Arabidopsis thaliana: one gene and its partner. The protein of the gene in region 1 interacts with the protein of each later gene in a pairwise test. Each region holds a gene or a part of one and is shown on either strand. Other genes may lie near its edges.

The links.
Region 2: the proteins of SAC8 (region 1) and PTR5 interact in a protein complementation assay, tested with the Arabidopsis thaliana proteins (one large-scale study listed by BioGRID).

Annotation. Positions count from the first base shown.
Region 1 is NC_003074.8:19,212,926-19,229,615, forward strand, and holds SAC8 (SAC domain-containing protein 8), read left to right. Parts: upstream 1-7,195; 5' UTR 7,196-7,311; coding exon 7,312-7,462; intron 7,463-7,597; coding exon 7,598-7,672; intron 7,673-7,762; coding exon 7,763-7,890; intron 7,891-7,992; coding exon 7,993-8,084; intron 8,085-8,164; coding exon 8,165-8,222; intron 8,223-8,334; coding exon 8,335-8,391; intron 8,392-8,470; coding exon 8,471-8,504; coding exon of another isoform or gene 8,505-8,596; exon of another isoform or gene 8,597-8,642; coding exon 8,643-8,723; intron 8,724-8,802; coding exon 8,803-8,909; intron 8,910-9,258; coding exon 9,259-9,345; intron 9,346-9,426; coding exon 9,427-9,504; intron 9,505-9,677; coding exon 9,678-9,742; intron 9,743-9,963; coding exon 9,964-10,062; intron 10,063-10,211; coding exon 10,212-10,311; intron 10,312-10,674; coding exon 10,675-10,783; intron 10,784-10,891; coding exon 10,892-10,964; intron 10,965-11,296; coding exon 11,297-11,390; intron 11,391-11,487; coding exon 11,488-11,571; intron 11,572-11,878; coding exon 11,879-11,945; and 4 more. Other genes in the region: ATG2 (metallopeptidase M24 family protein), read right to left, coding at 1-18, 111-260, 356-440, 550-643; EM1 (Stress induced protein), read left to right, coding at 1,893-2,010, 2,196-2,536; G4 (UbiA prenyltransferase family protein), read right to left, coding at 3,376-3,438, 3,534-3,581, 3,666-3,742, 4,106-4,250, 4,340-4,415, 4,494-4,555, 4,652-4,735, 4,810-4,875 and 6 more; ACX4 (acyl-CoA oxidase 4), read right to left, coding at 12,728-12,850, 12,936-13,028, 13,510-13,681, 13,773-13,849, 13,971-14,130, 14,424-14,533, 14,637-14,696, 14,806-14,879 and 5 more. UniProt on the Arabidopsis thaliana protein: Phosphoinositide phosphatase that hydrolyzes PtdIns(3)P and PtdIns(4)P.
Region 2 is NC_003076.8:54,506-68,718, reverse strand, and holds PTR5 (peptide transporter 5), read left to right. Parts: upstream 1-4,782; 5' UTR 4,783-4,938; intron 4,939-5,405; exon of another isoform or gene 5,406-5,444; 5' UTR 5,445-5,478; coding exon 5,479-5,587; intron 5,588-5,683; coding exon 5,684-5,901; intron 5,902-6,002; coding exon 6,003-6,553; intron 6,554-6,627; coding exon 6,628-7,462; 3' UTR 7,463-7,702; downstream 7,703-14,213. Other genes in the region: AT5G01170 (hypothetical protein (DUF740)), read right to left, coding at 8,698-10,404; AT5G01160 (RING/U-box superfamily protein), read right to left, coding at 12,992-13,760, 14,004-14,062, 14,185-14,213. UniProt on the Arabidopsis thaliana protein: Peptide transporter. Mediates the transport of di- and tripeptides. High affinity transporter. Involved in the uptake of peptides during pollen germination and tube growth.

The DNA of each region.
Region 1 (16,690 bases):
ATATGACATCCCATATCGCTGCAATTGAGAAACGCAAAACAACATCAGAAATAACACAGGTGAATCATACAGAAACATCTAAAAACAGGTATTACTTGAAGACAACTTACATTTTAACCATGTCACCATCTTCCAACACAGACTCATCACTAGCAAGCGGTGAAAAATGACCAACAGTGTTGTTCACAGAAATGCATGTAGGGAACGCAACACCTCTCTCAATCTTCTTCTTAGAATTCTTGTACATGCTTGCTGTTTGCCTTTAATACAAAAACAGAAGAAAGAACAAACACATAAATATCTAAGAGTAATCCAAGGTCGAATCTACATTAAGAACAAATTGAGATATACTCACTCTTTAATAAAAGAGTCTCCTTTCTCACAGATATCAACAATCTTAGCTTTTGGTTTGCATTCAGCTAAAACAACCTGTAACGCCTCTGCAATTGAAAACCCAACAGAAATCAATACTCGATAAAGCTACACCTTCAAAACCCTAAATCCAAATCGGACTTAAAACAAGAAAGGAAGAAAGAGAGGGTGTATTACTGTTAACGATCTCAGCGGCGCTCTTGTACTTGGTGACGACTTCAGGAGAGGTAAGACTCAGCTCCTTCTCGTCTCTCTCATCGTCCGAACTCATCTCTGATAACTCTCGAGAATCGAAACAGGGGAAGCAAAAATGTTAGGGTTTAAGGAGGAGCGATTGGGGGAAAACTGGTGGAGAAGGAGAGAAATGAAAGTGTTGGCTCAAATAAAGGTACTAGGGTTTTCGCTATGTGTGCTCTCTTCTTCTAACGATGCCGTTTTGGATTAATCCTGTAACGCTTTTTCTTAATTGCGTTACTTTTGTACTCCAGTATGGGCCGAAGAAGGGAAGCTGTTTCAGAATTGTGGCCACTAAACATTTACCCTTAACCGGGCCCATATAAGCCCACGTCAAGTGGCGCTTATACGCTCTCCGTAAGAGAGCCAACATTTGGTATGTAATGTTGCAAATTATTCTTCAAGACAATAAATTCAAATATAATTCAATATTGTCCAAATATAGTGATGTACTTCAGTTGTGCACATAGAAACTCCACTAAACCAACTTTTAGATAGATGCATTCACAAATTTTCAACAATGTCGCGAAAGTCTAATCCACACCAGATTCTAACATTTTAATTATTATATTTAACTATACATACTCTAATCAGCATGAGTCAAACGTGTACAATAGCCCAAGCATATAATAAGACCAAAGTCAAACTCAAATAAATGTCTCCAAACTCAAAACTTGAAAAAGACCTAATTATTACATGGTAGATATGACTTTGTCGACAAGTAAACCAACTAATCCTCGAAGCTACCTTCTCTTCCCAGTTATTATGTGTGATCGATTTATAAATCTCTTCTTCTAATAACACCTATATTTTTCTTATGATGTGAATAAATATAAAACTTTTAACTTTAAAACATATTTATCCGAAATATTGCACTTAGATTTCAAATAGATAAATAATAGTACTATCTAACTGATATTGAAAAGACCTAACACGGAAAACAGTTTTATAAAAAATCCCAAATGTGGGTAATTATCTTGATTTCTTGGGGGAAACAGAAAATGGATTAAGATTAATCGGAGTCGTGTCAAGCAGCTCGTTAATAACTGTAGCAAGTTGACTGAGTAAGCATCAACGTGTCATCTCCGTAAAGCCCATTATTTCTAGTCTCGCCGCGTCTTCTCTTCCACGTAGCACTTCACTTTTTCTCTCCTTTTGTTTCCTTTGGAACACAAACGTTTCTATTTATAGGAATAATTACGTCGTCCGTATCTGTGTCGGAACATAGATCCAAATTAAAAGCAACTTACTTAATTACATATCGTTCGTGTTTTTTTCTTCAAAAAATGGCGTCAAAGCAACTGAGCAGAGAAGAGCTTGATGAGAAGGCGAAGCAAGGAGAGACCGTCGTCCCAGGTGGCACCGGTGGCCACAGCCTCGAAGCTCAAGAGCATCTTGCTGAAGGTATTGCCGTAAATTACAACTTTTCCACACTCTTTTTATTTTCTTTAGTTCGTAAGTAATGGTTTTATAAGGCTAGAAACATTAGATCTTAATATCTTAAGATAAGATTAATCTACTTATTACGAACCTAAAGTTTACTCTATGATCTCCATGTTTCATGGAATGCATGTATGTACACTTGTTAGGAAGGAGCAAGGGAGGGCAGACGAGGAAGGAGCAGCTAGGACATGAAGGTTATCAGGAGATCGGTCACAAAGGTGGAGAGGCGAGGAAGGAGCAGTTAGGGCACGAGGGTTATCAGGAGATGGGTCACAAAGGTGGAGAGGCGAGGAAGGAGCAGCTAGGGCACGAGGGTTATCAGGAGATGGGACACAAAGGAGGAGAGGCGAGGAAGGAGCAGCTAGGGCACGAGGGTTATAAGGAGATGGGACGTAAAGGAGGACTCAGTACGATGGAAAAATCTGGTGGAGAGCGTGCGGAGGAAGAAGGGATTGAGATCGATGAGTCAAAGTTCACCAACAAGTGATAGTAGTTACGAGCTACTAGTGTCCGCTGCAACAGTCTGTTATATATCATCTAATAAGTAACCTGCTTGTAGGTTCCGTGTTTGGCAGCGTGGATTTTAACTAGGGTCTAATGTAGCGCGTTTAGGTTTTTTGTGTTTTATATGTGTGTGATATAACTATGTATGGCTTGTACTAACGGCAGTGTTGTACCGTTCAAATGGTATGCGGTTATGTTATGTAATGCGGTTGCCGGTTGGTTTTACTTCGTGTCTTACTTGTGATAGTATGTTGTGTCCAACAACGTGAGACTTGATATGTTAAGATTGCAGCATATCAAATGGCTGTAGAATAGAAAAAAATCAGGTAGTAATAACACAGTTTCAAGTTGTTAAATAACATATGTATAGTCTAGTCTTTGTAGTTTCTCAAATTAATTGTATGAAGTTAGTTGGGTTACTAGCTAGTTGTTAGATTTAGATTATAAAAAGTTTGAGGAAGTATCATTTTTGTATATTACTGTTTTTATGTGGATACATGTTTAGAATCAATACAAAAAGTGATGAAAATAGTTAAAATCCACTACAGAAAACAAAAACATTCTGAAAGCAGAGAAGTGACAGAACTAACATAAACCCCAATCCTCGATATGAGCAGGAAATGCAAAAATGGAGCGCAAATACGGTAACATCAATTACAATTTCTCAGCCGTTTTGCTAAATTGATACAACAGGAGTTGTTTCTAGTAATAACGGTACATACATTTTACAAAATCTTTTAAACTAGTTGATGCCATCACTTGCCCACATTTGATGTGTCAACACCTCTGCTTTCGACAAAACCCCATCAAAATACGCCTTTTTCAGTGTTGCGATGCTAATGCCGTTACAAATATTCCGAGCACCAAGAATGGCTGCGCGCTTGCCTGTAATCAAGATGAGTGTTTCAAGCAACTTCTGATTAAGAGACCTCTCAAAGATATTTCAAAAGAACACAAACATGTGTACTAAGTTGACTTACCTGGTACTTGACGTCGTATTTGACAGGGTCCTTGAGAAAGTATTTAAACTGCAGTTTATAGAAGCGAGTGTAGCAATCAGACGAGTGACAAGAATTTGATTAATTATAATGTGAGACTGTTAACGTCTTTACCTGGAACACAATCTGAGGAATGATCAAAGCAACCAACGCCAACGCATAATAAGGTTTCCCAGATGCTAATAGATATCCTGCAACCAAAATAGACATATACTAATGATGATCTCTACCTTTGATTTGGTTCTATAACAATGATTGTGTAACTCATCCACTAGTAAAAGTACAAATGAAGATATAAGTTCTGTTATTTCATGACACTGTTGAAAATACTTGTTTTAGAAGCATGAAATGAAAATCCATCAATCACACTAATGAAACATAAAAGTAGATGCCTCCTCTTCATTAGCTCATTTCATTAGAATGTACTTTTATGTTTTGCCTTTGTTGATTCAGCTTCATTAATTTGTGCTTTACCATTGGTGAATATCCAGTTGATAAGATCAAGGAAAAGAAATAGAAGCCACAGCTGCACAAAAACAGTGGATAGTACATACCGGCAACAGAAAGCTGAGTAATGTCTATAGCACCAACGCATATCCATTTTGCAGTTTCGGTGCCAAAAGCTACTGGGAGAGACTGAAGTCCTAATGCTCTATCTCCTTCAACACTTTTGAAGTCGTTAACAATGGCTATTCCTAACTGCATTATCACAAAGGTACAACATGAAGCAAGAGCATATTACAACAGATAACGAAAAAAGCAACATAAAAGGTTTGCCAAAAGAGTACCCCAGCTATGCTGTACAAGAGTGTTAGAACAACAACATCTGGCGTAAGAGTGCCAAACAATGCTTGGCCAGCCCACCTATCAGTCAAGTGAGCAAGAAACAAATCAATGAGATGAGAACAACGCCATATATTATTGATACACGAGATATCTTACCATGGCAAACTAATATAGCTTGCTCCAAGTGCAAAATTTCCAACCCATCCATTTTGTTTTAGCTGCAATGAGATCAGTTCAGATATCGATATTCAAAACTCCAAAACTTGGATGGAGTGTCTTATCACTAGAGAGTGGAAGTTAGGAATAAAACTTACCTTAAGAGGTGGAGCAGAGTATATATAAGATAGCAATGATCCTCCCAAAGCAAGATAGAAGACAGTGGGAGTGGTATGCCCTGCCTGATAAGGGAAGATTTTAGCAAATCTGATGTGCCCTTTAACTGTACTAGTTAATGTCAGAAGGGCCAACTTACCCACACATCTAATATTCCAGCAATACCAAGACCTCCCAATAATAGCACCCAGACTTGTGTAATAACCTGCATTTTAAGGAGTAAGGAGAAATCAGAATCACAAAAGAGATAAAAGCTCACAATGTTCTGTCTCAGTTACCTCTGGCTCTGATATTGCTCCAGATGGAATTGGACGATATGGCTCATTAATTGCGTCGATATCTCTATCATACCAGTCGTTGATTGTCTGGAAATCGACAAGTCTAGGTTATTGTAGCACCAAGCAAATGCACTAGAATAAGAACAAGTCAGCTTTTTGTTGTGTAAAACCAGACCTGTGTATAGCCAGTAAGACAAGGACCAGACATCATCATGCAAAGAATCGACTTAGCAACATCCTCTGGGGTCCAATGAAAGTTCCCTGCCAGAAGAAACAATTGGAAGGAAAATGAAAAAACTTTCTGTACAGTATTGCATGATCCAAAAGAGGTTCGTATGATTACCTGAAGCAGCAGCACCACAGACGACTCCCCAAACCAGTGGAGGCCAAGTGACTGGTTTTGTAAGCTGAAGACGAATCTTCCATTTATTCTGAATACAGAATATAACAACAAACTCTTTTTAGCTAACAAACAACATTTTCACATCATTTCTAAGCTAAAAACAAGACTTGTCCTCAAAAGAGATTACCTTTAGTAGGAAAATTCCTAAACTAACACATCATTATCCACAAATATGATAATTTAAAAGATTCTGAGGAGATGAACAAAATTACAGTTTCTTGAGATGCTCCTTTGATACCGAGAAGCTGGTTAATGCTTGAACCACCGGCTGGTGCCTTGTCAGGTGTCTGAGATTTAACTGCCGTCGGAAATTCAAACGCCACAGTGTTTGAAAAGAGAATTTTGAAGAGAGAGAAAATAAAAACAACTAAAAAATCATACCTTTATCAGTATCAGTCTCCGCCGCACGCACAACAAATCTCCGCCCTACGAGAGATCCACAACAAGATCAGTAAAAAAAAAATCGAAGAAAACATTCATCAATCTATCCAACAGAATGCTAACTACCGGGTGATTCGTAGATCAACGTCGAGAAACCAGAACGCCGGCGAGTGAACTCAACGGAATCCGAATTCCGAAGAGAGAGGACTCCGACTCGATCGACGGAGGTAACTCTGGAAGAGTGGATGGTGGAGACAGTGTTGAGAATCGAAGTCATAGAACCGACGGAAGAGAGAATCGTCTCTGGTGGTAGTTAAGCCGGAGACTGGAGTGGTGTGAGTCTGTGAGTTGCTGTTTCGGGAAACGAGTGGTTGTCCGTTACCGGAGATAAGTAATGTCTACGTTACAGTTTTGGCGGCCTTTGATTCAATAACTGCCATGTGGCACGATCCTCTTGGCAATACTAGTTGTGTCGGATGTTAGTTTTGTTGGACAAAGGACCTTCATTGAAGCAGAATGGGCCCGGTTTAAATCCAAAGCCCAAACAAAACCCATTAGGGTTTCATTGAAGCAGAATGGGCCCAGTTTAAATCGAAAACCCAAATAAAGCCCAAAAAATAAATCTAATATTAATATGGGATGATATATACCGGGTGAAATCATAAAATTTAACAATAAAAATACAAATACACAATTTTAAAAGCTAACCAAAACTAACAATATTAACAAAATAAATATAATTTCAAATTTCAAATCTTTTAATTATAAAATCATCCCGAATTGTATCATACATTAAATAATCAATAACATATATCTATAGTTGCTCAATACCTTCGGGGATTACTCTACTACATAAGTCGTCTTGATTGAATAGATTTCCTGATGTCTAGTTTTCCTACTGTGGAAATCCTATTTAGAGTAGACTCACTTCAATGAAAGCTATTACTTCTTTATTAATGACTATTAACTATTATAAGATATTAAGACAAAAAGAATAATAAATCTAACAAGGGGATTATGATACATCTAGTTGTAGTTGATATCTTAAAAACAAAAAATTCATGTATTTGATAAAAATATAAGCCCGTGATATATCTTTTAATATATATCCTATAAATATAATATTAACTGAAATAATTTTTTTAACTTTCTAATAAAAATATCAACCTTCAGTCTCTTCATGTTCCCTCAAGGCAAAATTACCTTCAAGTCTCTATTTTTACTACATGTGGAACAATCAAATCAAGGAAGAGTCGGTAGGTGATGGAGATTCGCTTTAAATGTCTACGTAACAGTTTTGGTGGCCTTTGATTTAACTACTGTAACAATTTGTCCGGACGAAAGACTATTGGGCACAGTTTAAATTTCAGGCCCAAAGAAGCCCACTAGTATCCGGTTGAGAGACACGTGGCAACAGTCAACTTTGAAGAAAAATAATGAACAATCATTGACATTTTTTTTTGTTTCTCCTGATCCAGTTCTTAATTGAACAAACTCCAACAGCATCATCATCATCATCATCCTTCAAATTATTTTTCCTATTTTGAAAAATTTATTTGAAATCTCATAATTTACGTTAATGGAGATTGCTCCATCTACAAGTAGATTCAAGCTCTACGATCAATTCGAGCTTCTGGAGTTTCCTGACAAGTACGTCGTCAAACCCATCGAATCGCCTGAGGAAGGCTTCTCCGTCAATCGGCGCGATGGCAATATCAAACCTCTTGATGGTAATCCACTCTTCATTCTCAGCTCTCTCCCTTCCCTGTTTTGGTTTCAAGACAAAATTTGGCAAGAGATGATATGAAGCAAGAGTATTAGGCTGTTGTAGTGTATTTGATGTTACTGTTTCTTTGTTACTGCAGAAAACGCATCTTCTGGGAGTCCTACTAGAGTCTCTACTATCTATGGCGTAGGAGGAACTATTAGGCTCTTAGCAGGTGGAAAATGTTTTTCAACATTTCTCTATGTACTGTGTTGGGATCCAACAGTGATTTTTATATGCTGGTTTCGATTTCATTCATATATAGGAACATACTTGCTAGTTATAACGTCTCGGGAGGAAGTTGGAAATTTTCTCGGTTTACCGATTTTTAGAGTTACGGCTATGAAATTCTTACCTTGCAATGAGGCTTTGAGGTTTGCTACTGCTCAAGAAGTAAGGTTATTGTGAATTTCAATCGATATACGATTTTGTAGGGGTTTTGGAGTTTATGAACAAGTTAAGTTGTCTAAAGAACTTGGTCACTGGCTTTTGCAGAAAAAGGACGAAACATATTTTAGGACTCTGTTACAAGCACTTGAGACAACCCCTGGATTGTATTTTTCGTATGAAACAGATCTAACATTGAAGTAAGTTTCACTATCTCATGATATTAAGAGTTTTAAGTAGTTCCGCGGCTTGAGTTAGATACATTCATCCAATTTTACAGTCTTCAAAGAAGGTGCAAGCTAGCTGAAGGTTGGAATCGTAAGCCTATGTGGAAGCAGGTTGTTTATTCGTATGATTTTTTATCTTTAAAAAAAGTATCTTCTTTGGATCCAGTGTCTGAATTTAAGTTCATCGCGTTAAAGTTAGGCTGAAGGTTTATTTGCTTGTCAGGCTGACCCTCGATATGTTTGGAACTGGCATCTTTTGGAGGACTTAATTGAATGCAAAGTAAGTTGTGTGGTTTAAATTTAATTGATTTTCATTCCTTGTCAAACGTTAATGATCTAACCTTCTCTTATTGTGGCAGCTGGATGGTTTTATTATTCCTATACTTCAAGGAAATATCCTTTTCTTTATCTTCTTAATCTTCTGTTTAGCTTGTTCTTGGACTGTTTATAGATGTAATGTTGCGTTTTTCAAATATGCTTTTTAATAGACAGTACTCCAATACATGTTGTTTGATATTAACCAAGGCTTAAGTTACCAAGTTGCTGAGCTAAAGCTCAAGAATTCTCCTGCTGTGGTATCGATAATGTCCAGGCGCTGTACACGACGTCTAGGTAGGGTTTAATTAGTTCTGCCAGAAAATTCAGTGGCATCCATGTTTGTTTGACAGTCTTATTGGAATTGGCATCCCAGGTACACGTATGTGGAGAAGAGGAGCCAATCTTGAAGGGGACGCTGCTAATTTTGTCGAATCTGAACAAATAGTGGAGATTAATGGTTTCAAGTTCTCATTATTGCAGGTATATCCTTGTTAGGATCTCATTCATGTGCAGTGTCTTCTTAAAATGATAGTTTCATGCTTCGATACTGGTTTATTTGCAGTAGCTGTGGAATTATATTTATTGATGATATGAAATGCTGTGTGGGGTTTCTTTCATAGCCCTGGAAAACTAATATCCTATGTAACTCATTTCAGCTGAATGGTTACACTGTTTTTTTAAAAATTTGATATGCTTGAAAATGCACTGTTTCATTATTTGGGTTCTTCATCTCTCAACTTAGTTTATTATACCTTGCTTTTCTCTTTCTCTGTGTTTAAGGTTCCCTTTCATTTCTTGCGATTGTAACTGTCTTGCTTTCACTGACTAGGTTCGAGGTTCAATCCCACTTCTTTGGGAGCAGATCGTTGATTTGAGTTATAAGCCACGGCTTAAGATAAATAAGCATGAAGAGACGGTACCTTTTTATGATTTTCTTACTAGATTAATTATATGATGTCCAGCACTCAATCTTAATAAGCTAAATTTCTGCCTCCAGCCAAAAGTTGTACAGCGCCATTTCCATGATCTTTGCCAAAGATATGGAGAAATTATGGCAGTTGACCTAACAGATCAGGTTAATTTCTTTGTTCCCCATTCCTGAAAACAAAATTAAATGGCACTAAACATATGTGCACTTTGAAATCTATGACATCTGAACTCCACCTCTAGTACAGTTTCTGCTCTGGAATTTTCACTTACTTACTTTCATTGTATGATTAACTTTGTCTCTCACACGTGACTTATTAGCATGGAGATGAAGGTGCATTAAGCAAAGCATATGCCACCGAGATGGAGAAGCTTCCTGATGTGAGGTAAAAATCTGTATGCACATCGACGCATTTACCTTCTACCCGTCAGTCTTATCATTTCTGTATTTGGTTATCGTTCGGGATACCTCTTAGCGTACACTGTGAATTTTTGCTATTTCGTGACACTTGAACATTTTGTCGTTTGTTTGGATATCTTTTACCTTCTCTTGATTCAAATTGTTCCTCGATCGTACACATCAAATTAATGATAGTTTATGACTCAGATATGTCTCCTTTGACTTCCATCAAGTCTGTGGAACTACAAACTTCGACAACCTGGGGGTACTGTATGAGCAGATTGGGGATGAATTTGAAAAGCAAGGGTAAGAATTACGGTTTTGGTTCTACTCATTTCAGATCTAGAAACTGAGTTGATATGGTTAGCAGTCAGAGGTTGTTCGTTTGGTTTAATTTAGCTAGCGCTGCTATATAGAGAATTTTATTTCACCTGCGACTAATCCAGGCTGAGCAGATATTTCCTTGTAGACGCAGACGAGAACATCCTAGAAGAGCAGAAAGGAGTTATCAGATCTAACTGCATCGACTGTCTTGACCGCACAAATGTTACCCAGGTTTGTTGAATTATTTCTTACTCTCTTTCATTTTCATTTCTAGTAGGCATCTTGATTGGTACGGTATGTTCTATACAACTCATGGGTGATTAGGTGGGACATGTAAAGCACCGTTGGTAAATCCCCTCCATTTGTGTCATTTGAGTTTTTGGGATCTTGGTTGTGCATTTACTAAATTGTTTGCGATAAAAAATCATTGTTTACATATTTAACTTCATGAAATATTGTCTCTGGTTGCACATAACGGCTAAAATCTACTTGCTGTAGAGCCATACAAGCTTGTTAGATGGTTGAAAACTTGTACTTTTCATTGAACTGCTTCTGATTGCAGTCAATATTTTTTTTGTTGTATCATATGAAAAGAGTTTCATGGGCCAAAAAAGTCTGAATCTACAACTTCAAAGGATCGGAGTGTGCGATTCCACAGAGTGTATATCCACGTTCGAAGATGATTACACAAAGTTCAGAACAAGTAAGTGGTTGTCACCATTTTCAAAATTTCAGCGCAGGTTCCAGTTATATAGCTGTAGAATATCTTCTGGCGTACCTCAAAAATTTAATCCTTTGGGTTCACTACTAGTTTGGGCTGAGCAAGGGGACGAGGTTAGTTTGCAATATGCCGGGACATATGCTCTTAAGGGCGACCTCGTAAGGTGAGTAATCTCTGTCTGTGATCCTTCTTAAGATCATATTGATTACAGTTGGCTTACAGAGTTACAGTCTTGTGATAGTGATGATGACTTCTTTTAACCATACATCAACATTGTTAGAAGTTTCCATGCTGTTCTCTCAGACATGAATACACTTGCCATATTACTAGACTGATAACCTGTAATAACAAGCTTGAGTTCTCTGTTTACCTTGGATGCAGTTTTCTCTGAATTGGTATAGGCCTCAGCTTGAATCAATACAATAGTTTAGAAAGACCATGTAAATGATAATATTTACATATTAGCAATATACGCTATGGGGTATTTTGGTGCAGGTACGGGAAACAGACTATGACTGGAGCTATCAAAGATGGCCTCAGTGCAATGTCGAGATATTATCTGAATAATTTCCAAGATGGTGTAAGGCAGGCAAGTTTCTTCTGCAATTATAATTGAATCAGCAAATTAGAGGTGAGGTATGAAGATGAGAAACTGAAGGTAGAGAAAACAAAATTTTATTTTTCAGGATGCTTTGGACCTCATAAGTGGTCGCTACACAGTGGGCACACACAGCCCTTCACAACTCCAGCCCATTGGATCACAACCGTCTGTATGTTCCTCCTAACCGCTTAAGATTGTGTGTTTGCATTATATGTTTTCGTTTACTTAATAATTTTTTTTGTCAAATGAACCCACTACCTTAAACATACTAAAATGTTTCATTAGTTAATTGCAAACGTAAACGCCAAATGAAAATGGCGTTTGCATTTGCATTTGCATTTGCACTTTACTGGAAAACTGCAAATGGTAACAAACTTAGAAATTGCATTTGAAACGATGGAGACCATATAATTAAACAATTTGGTCAAACAGAAGATGCTGACTGGATTTTGTTTGTTGTGGTGAAAATAAAACAGTTTCTGCCGGTAGCATCAGCATTGTTGATAGGTGGTGTAACAGTGACATCTTTCACAATTCATCAAGGTAAAGGCTTGTAATTCATATGATTATACATTACATGATTGTATTTTGATTGATTTGTTTGTGTATGTGTGTGTGTGTTGGGTGGAAAAAACAGCGGGAAGAAACACGCAGCAGTATCTGGCGTCGGCTTTGTGGGCTGGAGTGACTGCAGGAGTTGTGGCGATGATCAAAGCCAATGGAAGGCACTTGACTTCAAGGCCTCGTCTTTGCCATCTAATTTGATTCCATTTGAATTGAGATTATTTGCGTCTCACATTCTTCCCAAAACCCACACCCACTGTCCCTCTTTGCTTTCTCGTTCAACGTCCGCACAAACCAAAAATCGAACTAAAAGTCTATATTACTGAACTTCTTTATTCAATGCAATCAGTTTTATAACCCAAAATAATATAAGAAGATTTCTTCCAAAACATTTTTTTTTGTTACAGGTTGGTAAATTCTTGCGAAATAGAAAACCAACCGTCCAAAAACCGAACTCTGGTCAGTGTAAACAAAGAAACACAACTTAATTGACACTTTGACATTCACCAAAAGTTATTGACATTGGCAATTTGAATTAATAAAAGGTTAACAAATGGTATTTCCCCCAGTACAAGCCACAAGACGAATCCATATTGCAAGAAGCAATAACTGGATTAAGTTTTGCAACAACGATATTATTCCCCCATTGGACCCTAAATCTTTTTGGGTCAGATTATTTGGCACATTTGTAGATGTAAACCCCACATCACAATATCAATACTAACCAACAGACAACAACAAACAATGGACAACCTTTTAACTTAGAGACGGCTACGTGTAGCCGGTTTGAAACTCGCAATACCCGTTACTTCCCTCCCTGTTACTAAGGTGTTTATATCATAAGTCCCTTCGTATGTATAAATGGGTTCAAGGTCACAGAAAGCCTGCAAATTTTCCAAATTCATGACTTAACCATGATCTTTCTTCAATAATAGCCAACAACCAAGTCAAATATGAAGATTTGCTCACCTTTGCTACCAGAAAATCTGCTAGAATTCCATTCCCACCAAGTAATTCCCGACCTAGCGAAGCAGTTTCTCTCGCTTTTGATGAAATCCATGCCTAGTGGAAACACATAATTGGTTATGCAAACGATATTATTCAATGTTTACTGAGCTATGTTTGATTAGTAGAATAGATCACAAGCAAAATGTATCTTGTCTCAATACAATATTTTCTGCATTTCGATAGTATAATAAGCATGAACTTCCTGCATTTCGATACAATATTTTCGCATACGATTACGACTATACACGAATACCAGGAGACGTGACTGGTCTCTAAGCGCAATACAGATACATTCACAACTTTCCCTAATCTCTATACACAAACACCTTTATTGTATGTTGCTACACATTCTATTCAAGGAATCAAGTGATGCATCTCATAGAAAATATGACAGGTCTTCTACCAAATGGTTCATAACTCATGAGCACCTATCGTTGTTTAAATATCTTACCCCTACTTATTTCGGCTAGCGTACTGACTATGTAATCAGACAACATGTTTCTCTATTTTGAAAAAGGATTTCTTGTTATAATACCTTTCCTAAACTGGCTTGACCTGGAGTCATCTGACCCGTCTCATACAGCTTGCAGAGACGCCAACCCATTAGAAACATCGCTTGAACGTTACCCAGCATCTGCACAAGCTTCTGTTGGTTTAACTGGAAAGCAGCCAACGGTGCTCCAAACTGTTTCCTCTCCTTCAGATACCTTGAAACAATACATATTAATGGAAAACTGTAAGTAACGAAATGAAAGCTCATACTAGGATTACAGAGATCTGGCGGTTTCCCGGAAATACCTGTGGCACATATCGTAGATTCCCATTGATATGCCGATTGGTTGCCAGGCCACCATTACACGTGAGACAGCCAGAACCTATTCAAGTGTAGACAAACATTTAATTATAACAAAGAAAAGAGGAAGATGTGACGTTTTTCTGGTGATAAAGTATTTTAGAGCATTTTGGGGTTATGTAGTAGAATTATCACAACAGTACCTTGCTGGTGTCCTGAAAAGAATTTACCCCAGGTAACCGATCCTCATCTGGAACAAAGACATTCTGTAGTAGAATATCTCCATTTTGAACCATACGTAAACCTATTTTATTTGGGATCTTAGTAGCCTTTAGGCCAGGCGCATCTTTCTTGACTATGAATCTGAAAGAGGGTTGCTGATAAGTTTCTAATGCAGGAAATATAGTCTATATAAGATGAATGAGGAGCCAGACATTAGTCCAGTATGCACTTGATAACGGTCCTTACCAAATTTATTGTTCAGAACATTCAATTGCGTAGCAACCTATTTAGCATTCTTTATGAAAATGGATTTTTACAGCACTACCATAAGATGAAATCAAGAGCCACCTCATTACCTTCAGTTTTCTGGGAACGACCTCTACACCTAAGATACAAAATCTGAGAGATCTAAGAAAGCCAATAATCTGACTTACCCGTTGATTTGGTTAGTTGTTGTATTCCTCGCAAAGATGATCAACAGATCTGCAAAGGTGCTGTTTCCAATCCAACGCTTTTGTCCATTAATTTTCCAACCTCCTTCAACCTGATACAGTAAACCAGTCAAAACAATGAAACATTACTGTACTTGCATAAGTATAGAAAGATAGATACAAGTAACTGAATACTAGGAGAGAAGGCAGCCCCACCTTTGTTGCAGTCGTTCCTAGACCACTTGCATCGCTTCCATTGTCGGGCTCTGTCAAAGCCTTTATAGAAGTCCAATATAGGTAATGGTATCAACAGGATGTTTGTATAACACAATAAAACACTATTCAAGGGATGCAAATCATCTAATTCCAAGATCCACGTACTCACCCAACAAGCCACAGTATTCAATTGAGCCAAAGAAGGCAAATACTTCTCCTTCTGTGCTTCTGATCCACAGAGTGCTATTCTTGACAAAATCAAAGGAAATAAACTTATGCAAATCCTAGAATGATCTTTACTAGGACAACTAAATATTAAACAAGCTTAGAAATAAATATTAGGTGCTCTTACCAATAGTGAGCATGCCCAAAGAAGAATGCACCAAAATGAAAGTCGAACAACTTGCATCAACTCTAGCTATTTCTGCTGTGGCAATTGCATTGGCGGTGATGGAGAGACCAGGACATCCATAACCCTAAGAAGTCAAACCAAATCAATACTGAAGCTTCTATCCACATAATCAAACAAACAAAAACCCAGAGACAGGCATTGCAAATTACCTTGATCGAGCCACCAGCAACACCCATAGCCCCAAGCTTTGGAGTGATATGGAATGGAAATTCTGCTTTCTCCCAGTACTGAGTAAAACCCAAAGGAAGAACAATGAGATAACGCTAACTATACAATCAAAGCAAACAAAGAAAAAACAAAACACGTCGAACATGAAGATCTACCTCTGTCATTATTGGAGCAACTTCTTTCTCCATGCATTCCCTCACTTTCTTCCGGATAGCTTGTTCTTCCGGAGTCAGTAGATCATTGAAATGATAATAGTCTGAAGCTGTAAACAGTATATCCACAAATGAGACAGAGAAACACAATAAATCATCAAAATATAAATCCTCTGGAAGAAGAAATCCTTACTACAAGGTGGAAATGTAGAGGCTGGAGTTGCTTGAGGAAATGCTACAGACATTTCCATAGGTGGCAAATCAAAGTATGAACTCTTCACCTTCTTCTCATTACTAGCTGCAAGACCAAAACACAATTCTTATTTCATAATCAATATTCTCAACACTCAAAACCAAAACGCAATGCATAATCTCGTTTCTAATTCCTATATACAACAGATTCCATAAGTTTCAACAATCATGATCCCTAGCATCATCATCTGCAAATGAAACAGTCTGCGAAAAATTCACCATCTGCGTCAAATTACGGTAAACTAACACGCAAAACAAAATCTCATTGACCTAATCAACACAATCACCTGTTTGATCGAAATGATCGACACATAAATCATCCAAAACGACAAAAAAAAAAAGATCGAACGAGCGAGCAAAATAGCTGCATCAAACGATGAGGAAGACGAAACAAGTATACCGTGAAAAAGGAAGAGTATGGGTACGAAAACGAACCTCGATCTGCAGATGAAAGCACCGCCATGGTTATGATAGTGACGGAGAAATTGTTCTTTGGCTTCGTGATGATCGAATGTTGAAGGAAGGATATGAATTGTAATGAGATAGATACTAGTACTCACCAGGATCCGACCCGGTTAAGTCGGAGTATTTGGATTTTTGTAAGATAATGTTTTTTTCATAGAAGTTATCAACTTATCCTGATTTCAATTTTTTTCTGCTGACAAGGACGATATTAACGATAACGACAGGTGATGAAATGTTAGGAATTTTAGCCGTAGAACCTGAAAAAGACGTTTAAAAATCTCGACAAAATCGTTTCGTTAACGTTTCATTGTTGAATTAAACGACAGCGAAATGAACATAACTTGTTGCTATTCCTTTGTCTTTGTCGTATGAATTATAGAAGCTTTGATAATTCATTATTAATAAAAGATTATGAATAGTTACTTTAGCATTTTGATCGTATATGAAGTCTCGAAGATACTACCGGTTATCGCTTCATTGATTCGGAAAGTTTAATTGCTTTTGTTGATGTCGATAGATTCATTGTTATTTGTTTCTATGTTTTTATATTTTTTTTGTCATGAGACCAAATTGTAGGATTTAGCAAAAATAAATAAAAAATAAAA
Region 2 (14,213 bases), on another chromosome or scaffold:
GACAGTGGCTCAAGCCACACTATATTAAGAGACAAAAGATATTTTATAAATCTAACATTGAGAAATGCCAACATTAGCACTATAGCGGGTATAGCGAGTCTCATTGAGGGCTACGGCCAAGCCCATGTACTCTTACCAAACGGCACACATCTTGAAATAAGTGATGCCTTGTATTCACCCAGCTCAAAGAGGAGCTTGTTAAGTTTCAAAGACATACGTCTTAATGGTTTCCACGTTGAAACAAAGGGTGAAGGGAATAGAGAATTCCTACATATAACAGAGATCGCCCAAGGACTTAAGAGAGTCCTAGAAACTATACCCGCATTGTCCACTGGTCTTTACCATACTAAGATCAACATGATCGAAGATAATTTGGCAATGAACAAAGAGTTCATAGAGGAGTTCACTTTGTGGCATGACCGGCTTGGCCATCCGGGTCATAACATGATGCGAAAGCTAATGATAAGTTCAAAGGGGCACACCCTAAAAGAAAAGAGAGTTATCCCAAAGAAGCTCACGTGTGCTGCATGTGCACAAGGGAAACTCATAATAAGGCCATCACCGGCAAAGGTCAATAAAGAGACCATAAACTTTCTGGAAAGGATACAAGGGGACATATGTGGACCAATACACCCACCATGTGGGACGTTTCGATACTTCATGGTCCTCATTGACGCATCGACAAGATGGTCACATGTTTGTCTGTTGTCCTCTAGGAACCAAGCATTTGCTAGGTTACTGGCCCAGATCATACGTCTGAGAGCCCATTTTCCAGATTTTCCGCTTAAGACTATACGTCTAGATAATGCCGGTGAATTCACGTCCCAAGCGTTTAATGACTACTGTATGTCCATGGGGGTAAGTGTGGAACATCCCGTGGCACATGTACATACACAGAACGGATTAGCGGAATCCTTCATTAAACGAATCCAATTGATAGCTCGACCATTACTTATGAGGTCGAGGCTTCCAGTAGCCGCTTGGGGACATGCTGTATTACATGCATCGGAACTTATTCGTATCAGGCCATCTAGTGAACACAAATATTCACCATCCCAATTGTTAACGGGTCATGAGCCAGACATATCCCATCTAAGGACATTCGGGTGTGCCGTATATGTACCAATTGCTCCACCACAGAGAACAAAGATGGGACCTCAGAGGAGGATGGGAATATATGTTGGATTTGATTCTCCCACCATTATAAAGTATCTAGAGCCGACAACGGGCGATCTATTTAAGGCTAGATACGCGGATTGTCACTTCAGTGAATCCGAGTTCCCTGCGTTAGGTGGTGAGACGAACAAGCTGGGTAAAGAAATAAAAGAGATAGCATGGAATCAAACATCCTTGAATTGGCAAGATCCTCGGACTCTGATGTGCGATTCAGAGGTCCATAAAATTATACATTTGCAAAAGCTAGCTAATGAGTTGCCAGATTCCTTTGCTGACCCAAAGAGAGTTGTGAAATCGTACATACCAGCTTGTAATGCACCAGTACGTATTGATATCCAGAAGGGAATCAATGTAATTGCTACCGAGTCTAACCCACAGAAGAAACGTGGTAGACCAATAGGTTCCAAAGATAAAATTCCTCGAAAGACTAAGAAAGGTGCAATGGGAACCGAGGTAAAGGAAACCATAGACATGGCCGCGGCAAGTCCTAAGGAACCACCAAATGAGATTCGGGACGCCGAAGCTCATGGTCCTGAAGGAATTGATAATGATGAGATCTCAATAAACTACATCATGTCTGGAATAAAATGGAACCGAAAAGAAGTCGACGTCGACGAGAAATTTGCATATGAGGTAGCATATGAGATAAATGAGGATCATGAACCCACGTCTATAATAGAGTGCACTCAAAGGTCAGATTGGCTTAAGTGGAAAGAAGCCATTGATGTGGAGTTAGGTTCATTAAAGAAAAGAGATGTGTTTGGTCCAATATTGAGGACACCATCTAATATAAAGCCAGTAGGACACAAGTGGGTCTTTGTGAGGAAGAGAAATGAAAAAAACGAAATCGTGAGACATAAGGCACGGCTTGTGGCACAAGGATTCTCACAAAGACCGGGAGTAGATTATGAAGAGACATACTCCCCTGTGGTGGATGCAACGACTTTTAGATATCTAATAAGTCTGGCAATAAGAGAGAACCTTGACTTGCGGTTAATGGATGTTGTAACCGCATATCTATATGGTCCACTGGATAATGAGATATATATGAGATTACCAGAGGGTATTGAGCTCAAAGGAAAAGATAAAAATGGGTCTCGAGACCAATACTGCATAAGGCTGAACAGATCACTTTATGGACTGAAACAAAGTGGGCGCATGTGGTACAATAGGTTAAGTGAGTACTTAGTCAAAGAGGGCTATAAAAATGACCCCATCAGTCCATGCATCTTCATCAAGAAGTTTGCTAGCAAAGGATTTGTGATAATAGCAGTATATGTGGATGATTTGAACATCCTGGGAATCTCTGGGGAAATCGCCCAAACAGTCGAATATCTAAAGAAAGAATTCGAAATGAAAGACTTAGGCAAGACAAAGTTCTGTTTGGGATTGCAGCTTGAGTATGTAGATAAAGGAATCCTTGTGCATCAAAGGGCATATACAGAGACAATACTCAAGAGATTTAATATGGACAAGGCTCACCCATTGACCAGCCCAATGCAGGTGAGGAGCCTAGGATTGGATAGTGATCCATTCGGTCCAAAGAAGGACGATGAAGAAATTCTCGGTCCTGAAATGCCATATCTCAGTGCCATAGGAGCGTTGATGTACCTGTCTAGCCACACTAGACCGGACATATGTTTTGCCGTGAACCTCCTCTCTAGATTCAGTTCTTGTCCGACCAAGAGGCACTGGGAAGGAATCAAGCATTTGCTTCGATACCTACAAGGGACAATTGATTTTGGTTTATATTATACTAACCATAACAAAGAAGGTTTAGTTGGTTTTGCTGATGCAGGATATCTTTCAGATCCGCACAATGGAAAGTCACAAACGGGTTATGTGTTTACTCATGGTGGAACCGCGATATCCTGGAGATCAATGAAGCAGACCATCACGGCCACTTCCTCTAACCACGCGGAGATATTGGCAATGCACGAGGCCAGCCGCGAGTGTGTGTGGTTGAGGTCAATGACTCAACACATACGAGCCGATTGTGGAATGGTCGAAGACAAGGAGCCGACCATCATATACGAGGACAACGCGGCATGCATTGCTCAGCTCAAGGAAGGATACATCAAGGGAGATCGGACGAAGCACATTCTGCCCAAGTTCTTCTTCACGCATGACTTACAGAAGGATGGTGAAGTTAAGGTGGTGCAAGTACGTTCAAGCGACAATTCAGCCGATCTATTCACCAAGGCATTACCAGCAACGACATTGAGGAAGCTCGCGCATCAGGTTGGGATGCGGAGGCTTAAGGACTTATAGAGATGACCAATTCAGGGGGAGTAATGCGTGCTGTACTCTTTTTCCTCACTATGGTTTTGTCCCGAAAAGGGTTTTCCTAGTAAGGTTTTAATGAGGCAGCATTCCCCTAGCGTATTACTGAGATCCCGTTGGCATCTACACGGTTATGTCATCCAAGGGGGAGTGTTGTAAACCACTTGTTGGATGGACTCCATAACCGTGGCCCATGTCTTTGGAGGATAGGTCCGTCAGCCCATTGGTGTGACGGCCCATCGACCAGTCGGCCCATCAGTCCATCGGTCCATCGGCCCGTCGGCCTGTCGGCCCGGTCCATGGAGAGAAGCCACAGTCAGTCCGGCCCGTAGGTCCGGCCCATGGAGACTATACTTAGGTCGGTCATATACTTAAGTAGTTATGGGCTTTTGTAACCTAGCCCATTAGACATGTAACCTCCTCAAGTATGTATATATATGTGATGTAACCTCATTATGAATCAATAAGAAACAAGTTAGTTCTTCACAGCATCAATCGTAGAAAACAATCTGAGAAAACATAACAGAAAATTATATCAATTTTTTTTCTTAAGTACTATTAAACTTATTTTCATAGTTCTATAGTCTCTCAACTTTTGTTTTTTGTTTTTTCGTGGTTATATTAACATCTATTACAACTTGTTTACGCATTTTGTTTATTCCATATATAGGTCACAGATAATGCGTGTGCATTAAGTTTTCAAACAAGTTTATTAGTTCTACTAATCAGGATATTAACAATTCTTTTGCGTGGTAGGTTTGTTTAACCTCTTGTGAGTTTATGGTTAAAAAAGTTAATCTTTCTCTACCACTTAACACTTCTTTTGTGTGGTAGGTTTGTTTTGACTAGAAGTTGTAGAAATAGAAAAGTTGTACAGAGATTCTCAATCTGCTATTCTCTTGAGTCGTTGAAATAAATTTCAATTCTATGATCGATGTGTCATGTAACCGTTCCATGAATCTGGACACAATCACAAAAAGAATCCATAAGTTATTTGGTGTATTAATTATCCGTTTTTTTTTTGTTCACAATATTGATTATCCGTTTATAGATATGTTTCCTTTTGATCAAAAACAAAAAGATATGTTTCCATAACTATTTCAATTTTTTGTTAGGAATTAGGTAATTTTGTTATAATTTTTGATTCTTTAACATATAAATGAAAGGGATTCAAACCTACACAACCACAATCTTTAATGATACATTACTATGAATAGGATTTAGCATCCCCACATCTTCTCAAAGATTCAAGAAAGTTATTCAAAATTCAACAAAATAACAAAGAGAAAGATAATAAATGCGAGGACGTAACTGGTAAAATCACGAAACTGCCTGATTCACCTTCACTATTCAGAGTGTTTCCTTATAAATATCTATCACACGGCGCAAAACGAAACGCTCAAGCCCTCAAGTTTATCTTCCTCAGCCGTGTAGTTCAAATCCCGGCACAAAACTCTGTCGTCGCTTCCCCGAGAAAAGGTAAACGAATCTTTCACCAACGATTAACCGTTTCTAAATATTAAATCTGGTTATCTTTGATCTGTCTTTTTTTTGATTCTATGAACAATTTCTGTTACTAGTAATCACACATTTTCGGGAGGAGTGTTCTTAGATTTATTTTCATTTTCAAACGAAATTTGCGATTGTGTGTTTTCGAGTTTTCAGATCCGTAGCTTTCTTCGACGAAATTATATATGTATGTATGGCTTCCGATTTTGTCAGTTTGTGTCTAGAAAACGCGTTATGTTTTTGTCATGATGCATGTAATGGACATTACTTTGGCTATTGCTCATAAAATAAATCGATGTTTTTCAATTCTGTTTCTTCGTGGAGTCACACATATATATATATGGAGGCTTATCTGTCTAAATCCGATAATTAGTCGTAGAAATATCGTTGTGTAGATTTTACTTGGCAAAGAAGTCATCTTTTGTCCTTTTTCTCAGTAAATCAGGTCAAAAATTCTCACATTGTTGAAAACTCAGGGGTCACACTTAAACTTGTCGAAACCAAACAACAATGGAAGATGACAAGGATATATACACAAAAGATGGAACTCTTGACATTCACAAGAAACCAGCCAACAAGAATAAAACTGGAACCTGGAAAGCTTGCAGATTCATTCTTGGTATTGTTCAAACCTTTAATCTTTTGTTGTAATAAAAACCAAATCGTTTTTTTTTGTTCTGAATTTGATTTGATTGTATCTATGAGCAATTGGCAGGAACTGAGTGCTGTGAAAGATTAGCTTACTATGGAATGAGTACTAATCTCATCAACTATCTCGAGAAACAAATGAATATGGAAAACGTCTCTGCTTCTAAGAGTGTCAGTAACTGGTCTGGAACATGTTACGCTACTCCTTTGATCGGTGCTTTTATCGCCGATGCTTATCTCGGTCGATACTGGACCATCGCTTCCTTTGTCGTCATCTACATTGCCGTAATAATTTACTCTTTGCTCTGTTTGCTCTCAACGTGAACAAAGAAAATCACAGAATCTTGAAACTGTTTGCTCTTTTTTTTTTTGTTTCTGTAATTTAGGGAATGACGCTATTGACGATATCAGCTTCGGTTCCTGGTCTAACACCAACCTGCAGCGGAGAAACCTGTCACGCAACAGCGGGTCAAACCGCTATTACATTCATAGCGCTTTACTTGATCGCACTCGGAACTGGAGGGATCAAGCCTTGTGTCTCTTCCTTTGGTGCTGATCAGTTTGATGATACAGACGAAAAAGAGAAAGAGTCTAAGAGCTCTTTCTTTAACTGGTTCTACTTTGTGATCAACGTTGGTGCAATGATTGCTTCCTCTGTTCTCGTTTGGATTCAGATGAATGTTGGTTGGGGTTGGGGTTTAGGTGTTCCCACCGTCGCAATGGCTATAGCCGTCGTGTTCTTCTTCGCCGGAAGCAACTTCTACAGGCTGCAGAAACCAGGAGGAAGTCCTCTCACAAGAATGCTGCAAGTCATTGTGGCTTCATGCAGAAAATCTAAAGTGAAAATTCCTGAAGATGAATCTCTTCTCTACGAGAACCAAGACGCCGAAAGCAGTATCATAGGAAGCCGCAAGCTCGAACACACCAAAATATTAACGTAAGGCACAAGCAAGTCCGGTCTGTAATTTTGTGTTGTTAGGTTAACTTTTGGCTCACTTCAAATCATTTCAGGTTCTTTGATAAGGCAGCAGTGGAAACAGAGAGTGACAACAAAGGAGCAGCTAAGTCGTCTTCATGGAAGCTATGCACAGTGACACAAGTAGAAGAGCTCAAAGCACTGATCCGTCTCTTACCGATTTGGGCCACAGGGATTGTTTTCGCTTCGGTTTATAGCCAAATGGGGACTGTGTTTGTACTACAAGGCAACACACTGGACCAACACATGGGACCTAACTTCAAAATCCCTTCCGCATCACTCTCCTTATTCGATACGCTTAGTGTCCTGTTTTGGGCACCTGTCTACGACAAGCTAATTGTTCCCTTCGCCCGGAAATACACAGGTCACGAACGCGGATTCACACAGCTTCAACGGATTGGAATCGGGCTTGTAATCTCCATCTTTTCTATGGTCTCTGCGGGAATCCTCGAGGTCGCAAGGTTAAACTACGTTCAAACACACAATCTTTACAATGAAGAGACTATCCCGATGACGATTTTCTGGCAAGTTCCGCAGTATTTTTTGGTGGGTTGCGCCGAGGTTTTCACGTTTATAGGTCAGCTTGAGTTCTTCTATGACCAAGCTCCTGATGCTATGAGGAGTCTCTGCTCGGCTTTGTCGCTCACCGCAATTGCATTTGGGAACTATCTGAGCACATTTCTGGTGACATTGGTCACTAAAGTCACGAGATCAGGTGGAAGACCAGGCTGGATCGCTAAGAACCTCAACAATGGTCATCTTGATTACTTCTTTTGGCTATTAGCTGGTCTGAGTTTCTTGAATTTCTTGGTCTACCTTTGGATTGCTAAATGGTACACTTACAAGAAAACGACCGGGCATGCGCTTTGATGATACAAAAAACATAACGATGGCTGCAATCACGAATTCTGATTTGAAATTAGTCGCAATGTTTGATAATCTCGTTACTGAAACATATTTACAGATATTATTTTTATTTTTCATAAACAAGCAAGTTTGAAGTTCTTTGCTTGAGTTTAGGTTACAAGATACTACTTTTGAATTCGACTATCCTTATTGCTTTGTGGTTGCAGAGTTCAAGGGTTTGTATTTAACACAAGCGTTGTGCTGAGATTCCGCTAGTGAAACCATTTCTTTGATTGCAACTAGAATAGTAGTGATGAATCCGTGATCAAACGCTCTGAGACTCGAATGCAAGCTTTCAAAGAACCTGCAGGATTGATCAGATTAGAGAGACAGTGGAGAATGGAAATACAAGCAAAGGTTGGCTGATTTTGAATAGAGAATGAAAAAAGCAAATAAAGGGAAAAAGGTAGCAACAAAGATCATATAACTTGATTAATAGACCCAAGTTTGAAACTTAACACTTGGGCTTGATACGTCAAGCTACTTTTACATTTGCTATTGCATCGTAAAACAACAAATCTCAGTGATGTTTACTCAAACCACCAAGACCGATGTGTGTGCTTATGCTGCTCACTTCAAAAACCATTTGTTATGTTTGTTTAAGCTACTTAAAGATTCAATCTCTATGCAAGCTTGGTAATGCAGACACAGAGAAAGGCCTGGAACTCAGACTTAGCTAGTTGGTGAAGTTAAGAGAAGATGATACTAATGCGGTTTGATTTTTGATGCAAAGTACGAGAAACAGAGAGAACAAAAGCTAGCCAGAGACTATAAAGATGTTACCTTAGTCATTATCCAGCCTTGACTAATTCAGTTGTTCCATACCTCAAGTTGTTCTTCTCTCTTAGACATTTCGTCAAACACTTTCAAAGCATCACCCAAATTTCCGGTTTTTACAATTCTCAATCAGTCTCTTGTTCTTACTTGCATTCTTGCAATCGAATCAGCTCGATGATCCCATCCAATCATAAATCGGAGGATGTGGTGGAAGCAGGGACGGCGGCGGAGTGAGTGAGAGAGAGCATAACTCAAAACTCCGAGTGTTTATAAGTTTAGGTTTTTGAAAACGACCCGGTTCCAATTTGGTCCGATTAACTCCGGTTAAGTAGATATCCAATTTATTCACAAAGATAATTAGAGAACCCCAAACCAAAACCTCACATTGCTCCCAATAATTAAAATGAAGAGGGACACTTTGGTCAATACAGCCTCATAACCCTCCTCGCTATAGAGTGGCCGTGACTATTCGCCTTAGCCGCCGTCTTCTCCCACCCACCACCACCACCACCGCCTCCGCCTCCACCACTACCACCGCTGGTCTTCCAGCTTCTCCTCATCGGAGTCAAATAAAACCTCAACATTCCGTTCTCTCCATCTTTGGACGAATACCTCGAACTCTTATTCCTCGCCGATCCTCCACCGGAGCTTCGCCAGCTCACATTGCTGTTACTCCTCCTCATCTTCGGTCCTCCTCCTTCTCCATTCCTCATCTCCGGCCATGATTCCGATAAAGACCTCTCAACCATTCCGGCGCTGTTGGATCTGCTGTACCTATCTTCTTCTTCATCGTCCTTACCTTTTCTGTATATAAACCCTAAAATGCTCCATTTTCCCCACCGTCTCGATTTCTTATCGCCGTTTTGATTCCCTTTGTTCTCCGCTGTTTCCATGGAATTTGAGTCTATTGTTGTTGTCGAATTTGATACCGATTTGACATCCTCTAGCTCCGTTACAATTTTTCTAATAGAATTGGATCTGTCGAGGCTCTTCCGTCTCCGTGACGACGGAGGTCCAGTGTAGTAGTCTCGAGTTTGATTGGATCCGCCTGGGATTATGATAATCGGGTCGGAGTCACCGCTAATCGGTTTAATTGACGGAGACGATGGAATCTGCATGTCTGATCGATTCAACGGAGCATTTTCCACAACTGATAACATCGATGGCGGCAGAGGAACCCTAGCCGCCGTTGTCCTGCCGATTAAGTGTCCATCCCACGACGCTCTTGGCTCATCTAATGAGTAGCGAGAATCGTCCATTGAAATCCGACCTATATCGACGGAGAATCTCCCGGCGTCAAGAGAGAATCTCGGGTCGGTGTCGCTTGATCTCCGGCCTACTCCGATTTCAGACTGTGGCCGTCCTCCGCCGACACCGTTTCTCGGCTTCTTCACCTTCTGCTTCTGCTTCCATTTCTGAAGCTTCTTGCTGAAAACAGAGGCCGCCGAAAAGAAACTCCCGGCGAAATCTTTCACCGACGGTTTCTTTGTTTGTGAGTAGAGATCCATGTAATCCTTCATTGGCTTCAATTCCTCTTCTTCCTCACCAATTTCGCTGCTTTTTTCCTCAACTATCTCGCCGGGATCTTTCTCACCGTTTTCTTCATCCTCCTCAATTTCAGCTTCTTCAGTCACCTCTAAAACTATCTCACTCACGCTAGACTCCCTAGCCTCCTCCTCGATTTTATCGACGGAGGCAGCTTCATTGATGGGAAGGTTTCTTTCGTCGTCACGAAGTCTGACGTCACAAGACCGACGCTGTGGCTCAAACCCACCGGAAAATCCTTCGTTGTTCTTTGCGGAAAAGGACTTTGTACGTCGGAGCTCCGGGAAGAAACCGGGTCTGACCCGACCGTTTCCGTTGGAGTTGTTGGTACCACTAGAGGAGGGCTTGAAGAGAGCTTTTAACGAAACAGCGGAGATAGAGGGAGGTTTCCGGGAAGAAGAAGACGGTGGCGGAGCGGCGTTGTGATCTAAGACGGAGAGGCGGTCGCAAAGACAAGAAGGACAGAAACCGGAGAAACGCTCTTCTGGGTGGAGATCACATGATGTAGATAAGCGATGCGGTTGAGAAGGCGGAGCTAGTTCGTCGACGGCGGTGACGGGAGCTTGGTCGGCGGAGAGATTCATAAGAGGAAAGGATGAGTGATAAGACTTCTTTCTCTTCGTCTCATATCATCAGTGTCTTGTCTGCTTAATTGCTTAGAGGGGAGAGAGATGGGAAGAGATGTTATGTCTGAAACTTTCGTCTTTTACCAACGGACATTGAAAGAGAAAGGAGATGAAGAGAAATAACAAACAGTTATTTATTATTTAAAGAAATTTAAAATATTTAATGAAATATTTTGCAGGTGTCAGATTAAATCTGCGCTATTTTTTGTTTTTAAGAAAGAAGGTTAAATATTGAGTCTGACAATTTTAATATAATAAAAACAGTGCTGTGATTTTATGGTTAATGGGTTGATCGATCTCTCTGCCATTCTGATATTTCTGTTCTTTGAGAAAAACAAAAAAAACGAACAGCCAAAAAAAAAAAATGATTAGAGGGACAACAATTTTTCATTGTTGTCCATCAAAACATACAAAAACTATCAAATCTCAATCAATTTCTTAATATAAACATTAGATTGAAGTGTATATATTGATTGATTAATGTAAATGCTGAGAATATCCAGCTACACGTGTGCTTATACGAATTTGTTTTTCTTCTGAACAACTTTATTTGTACTGGCTAAGCTTCTCTTCTTTTTGTTGTCAATACTCGCATCACTTTGCAATTTGCATGGGGTTGTCGCTACGATATACTATTCGTTTTGCAACAAAAACAAGCAAACCACCATTTACGTCTTAATTTCAGCTGAAAGAAATAAAATACCCTTGACAAATTTTGTTTTTTATGAAGCAAAAAGTGAATTTTCAGGCTTTGTCCATTACCCTAAAGTCGTATTTAAATTTAAAAACTAAGAGCCAAGCAAAAGTAGAAAAGCAGAAAAAGCAATTCACGCCATCAAATCTTATTTGTTGTTTGGTCTCTCTATTCACTATTCTCTCCTGTTTTCCTTTTTCTTATAACATTTCCAATCAATCTTATTATTTACCCAAAATTAAAAAAATCTTGAACACTATCTTTACTTTGTATATATATATATATATTTTCGTATACTTTTACCAAACAAAGCATGAAATCTTTGTTGAAGCGTGTGCATACATACATTTTCGTACGTGTTAGGCGTATTTTCATAATTGTATTCGCTGGTATTTATCGTTCTTGTCTTTGTTGGTTATCAAAGATCTATGTCGAGAACTTTTTACGTGACGTGATTATTTCCATCAATTGACCTCAACGCAATCAATGCCATTAATGTGGGCTTTTTACTTATATTTTCACCAATCAAATAAGCTTTTTTAGTCTTTCCTAAACAGGAGTATATACTTAGAAAAGGGAACTTTAAATTACGTGTAGAATATAAACTTATATTGAGAAAAAGTAGCAGACCCAAAAAAAAAAAACTAATTATGATAAAAAAAAACTAATTGCAAGGAGTTGACGCAACTTTTGGACACTCCTGATGAGTGGCCCGCTTTTTCTTCTGAGTTAAAAAATTTTTATTCTTTAAAGCCTAACTTTCCTCGTTTTTTTTTATCTTTTATTCCACGTTTAAACAATGTTTGTGCTGATTGTCTTGCTAAGAAGGCAAGAGCACGAGGTTCTATTTTTTCCCATGTAAGCTTTTCTACTCCGGACTGGTTTTCTCTAGAAGAAAACCGCCCGCTTTTAGCTTAAATGAATGACCTTATTTTGTCGTAAAAAAAAAAAAAGAAAAGAAAATGAACTATATCCTACATTTACATTCTCTTTGGTTGGTCATAATGATTGGTGTGATTAATCATGAAAATTACGACAATGATTATAGCTTTTACATTTTGAAAATTTATATGGGGATCGTAATAATTCATAGAAAACATGGGAAAAAGTGTCTTAGATCTCAGTTTTCTTCTATTCTCATAATGTGAAATAATGGTGTCTTGCAAATATTGTTATGTATCATTATGGTTCATAATTGGAGAATCCATTTGAAACGAAATTTCTCATAGCCACACACTTATCAATAACTGGTTCAGTTCAATTCACATGATTTCTAGTTTAAAACTAACAAATATGAATAAGTTATTTGATAATTTTATACTTAACTAGCTAATAGTATATTTTCGTGTGTGTTTATGCTAGAGAATAAATGCTTACAGAAATTTGAACTTGGTGCTGAATAGTGAATACATATGTAGAGTGAAGGAATCCCAATAAAGAGACTGTGAAATATTGTCTGTAAGCATAGCTGTGCCTAAGATTAGTGAGATCATCGGCGGTGTTTAGAAAAAATCTCAACTCATATAATAACCATCATCATCATCCTCCCAAAACAGTAAAGAAAAAGAGCTAAAAACCAAAATATCAATCTTAGTTCTTTCTTTATCACAGTGACACAGTGGGTGCAATCTACGATGGTTGTTCCTATAAAATGGTGTAAAACCTTTGGTTCAACCCAAATCAGTTTGGTTTTTCCGATGGAATTTTTGGCACGGTTTTGGCTCGGTTGAAATTGGGTTTACTCGAATTACATGTTAGACCAACAACAAACGACACAGTTTTTAGAAACAAAAGTACTTGAAACTTTCAAACGACGAGTTTAACATTGCACAAATTCAAACTAGACTACTCTTACTCCTGCCCAAAGCCATCACGGTTCTCTTGTGGCCACCCAAAACTTTGACCGTCTCTACCCCGGTTAACCTGCTGGGTCGTGTGAGGCGGTGCCATTCCGGGATTCCATGATGGAGGAGGATACGATCCTTGGAAATTCAGATTCGTCATTGGTGAAGGCGGGGGATACCCGAGCAATGAACTTTGTTCTGATCCGCCGCTCTCTGTTCTTGTCATCTCGTACTGAGCACCGTTAAAGAATTGTTGAGATGATCCACTCTCTGTTGTTGGATACGAAGGAAAACCAAACTGCTGTGGTAAACCCGGGTTTTGATTCATTGGAACGGGCAAGCTGGGCGGTTGCATAAGATTCATAGGCTGGGGGTAGTCTGGGAACCGGATTCCTGGTTTAGGACTAGCGGTTTCGAATCCAGGAGGGCGAGAGTTATCGCTATCTGGAGGGTAATTCTGGACTTGACTAAATCCAGACTGTGACTTTGCAAATGACGCCGACCTGTTTAGTTCACGGGATTGTTGCAGCTGGGATCTTAAAGGAGCTCGCAAGGTGGATTCTGAAGCTGAAGACTGCTGCATTGTGCTCTGAACATCTGACTGGTTACCATCTTCTTTCTCTGCATCGGCTTGTAATAGGCTTCCATGGAGGTCATGGACATGGGCTTCAAAGTCAAGTTTCTTCAGGAAAGACCTAAGACAATGAGGAGCTGCACAGATGAAGATCCCTTCCATCATCTTGATTGTTTGAATCTTCTGAATCCGCTCATCACATCTGTGCAGTAATCACACACACAAGAGACAACAAGATTTCAGTCTGATAATCGCTACGCCTAGTAAATCTTAAAATGTCTCTGTAGATTACTAAACAATCTAGAATATCTCTATCAAAGCTTCTAATGAAATTCGAAGCCTAGTTCAAACTATGATAATCCTGCGTCTCTGTAGATTACCAAACAATCTAAAGTATCTCTATCAAAGCTTCTAATGAAATTCGATGAGAGTTAAAGATGGTTACAGATAGCAGATGGAATCACTGCGAGCACATTCAAGGCAAAAGGCATGATCACAAGGAATCTGCAAAACCAAAACAAAACAAAAAAAGTTTCAATCACATATAGAAGAAGAGCCCCCTTAAAAAAACTCTTTAAGGCAAATCAATATAGCCATAAACCAATGAAGGAAGCGAAGTTTTTTACCAGACGACCATAGATTGCAATCGGAAAAT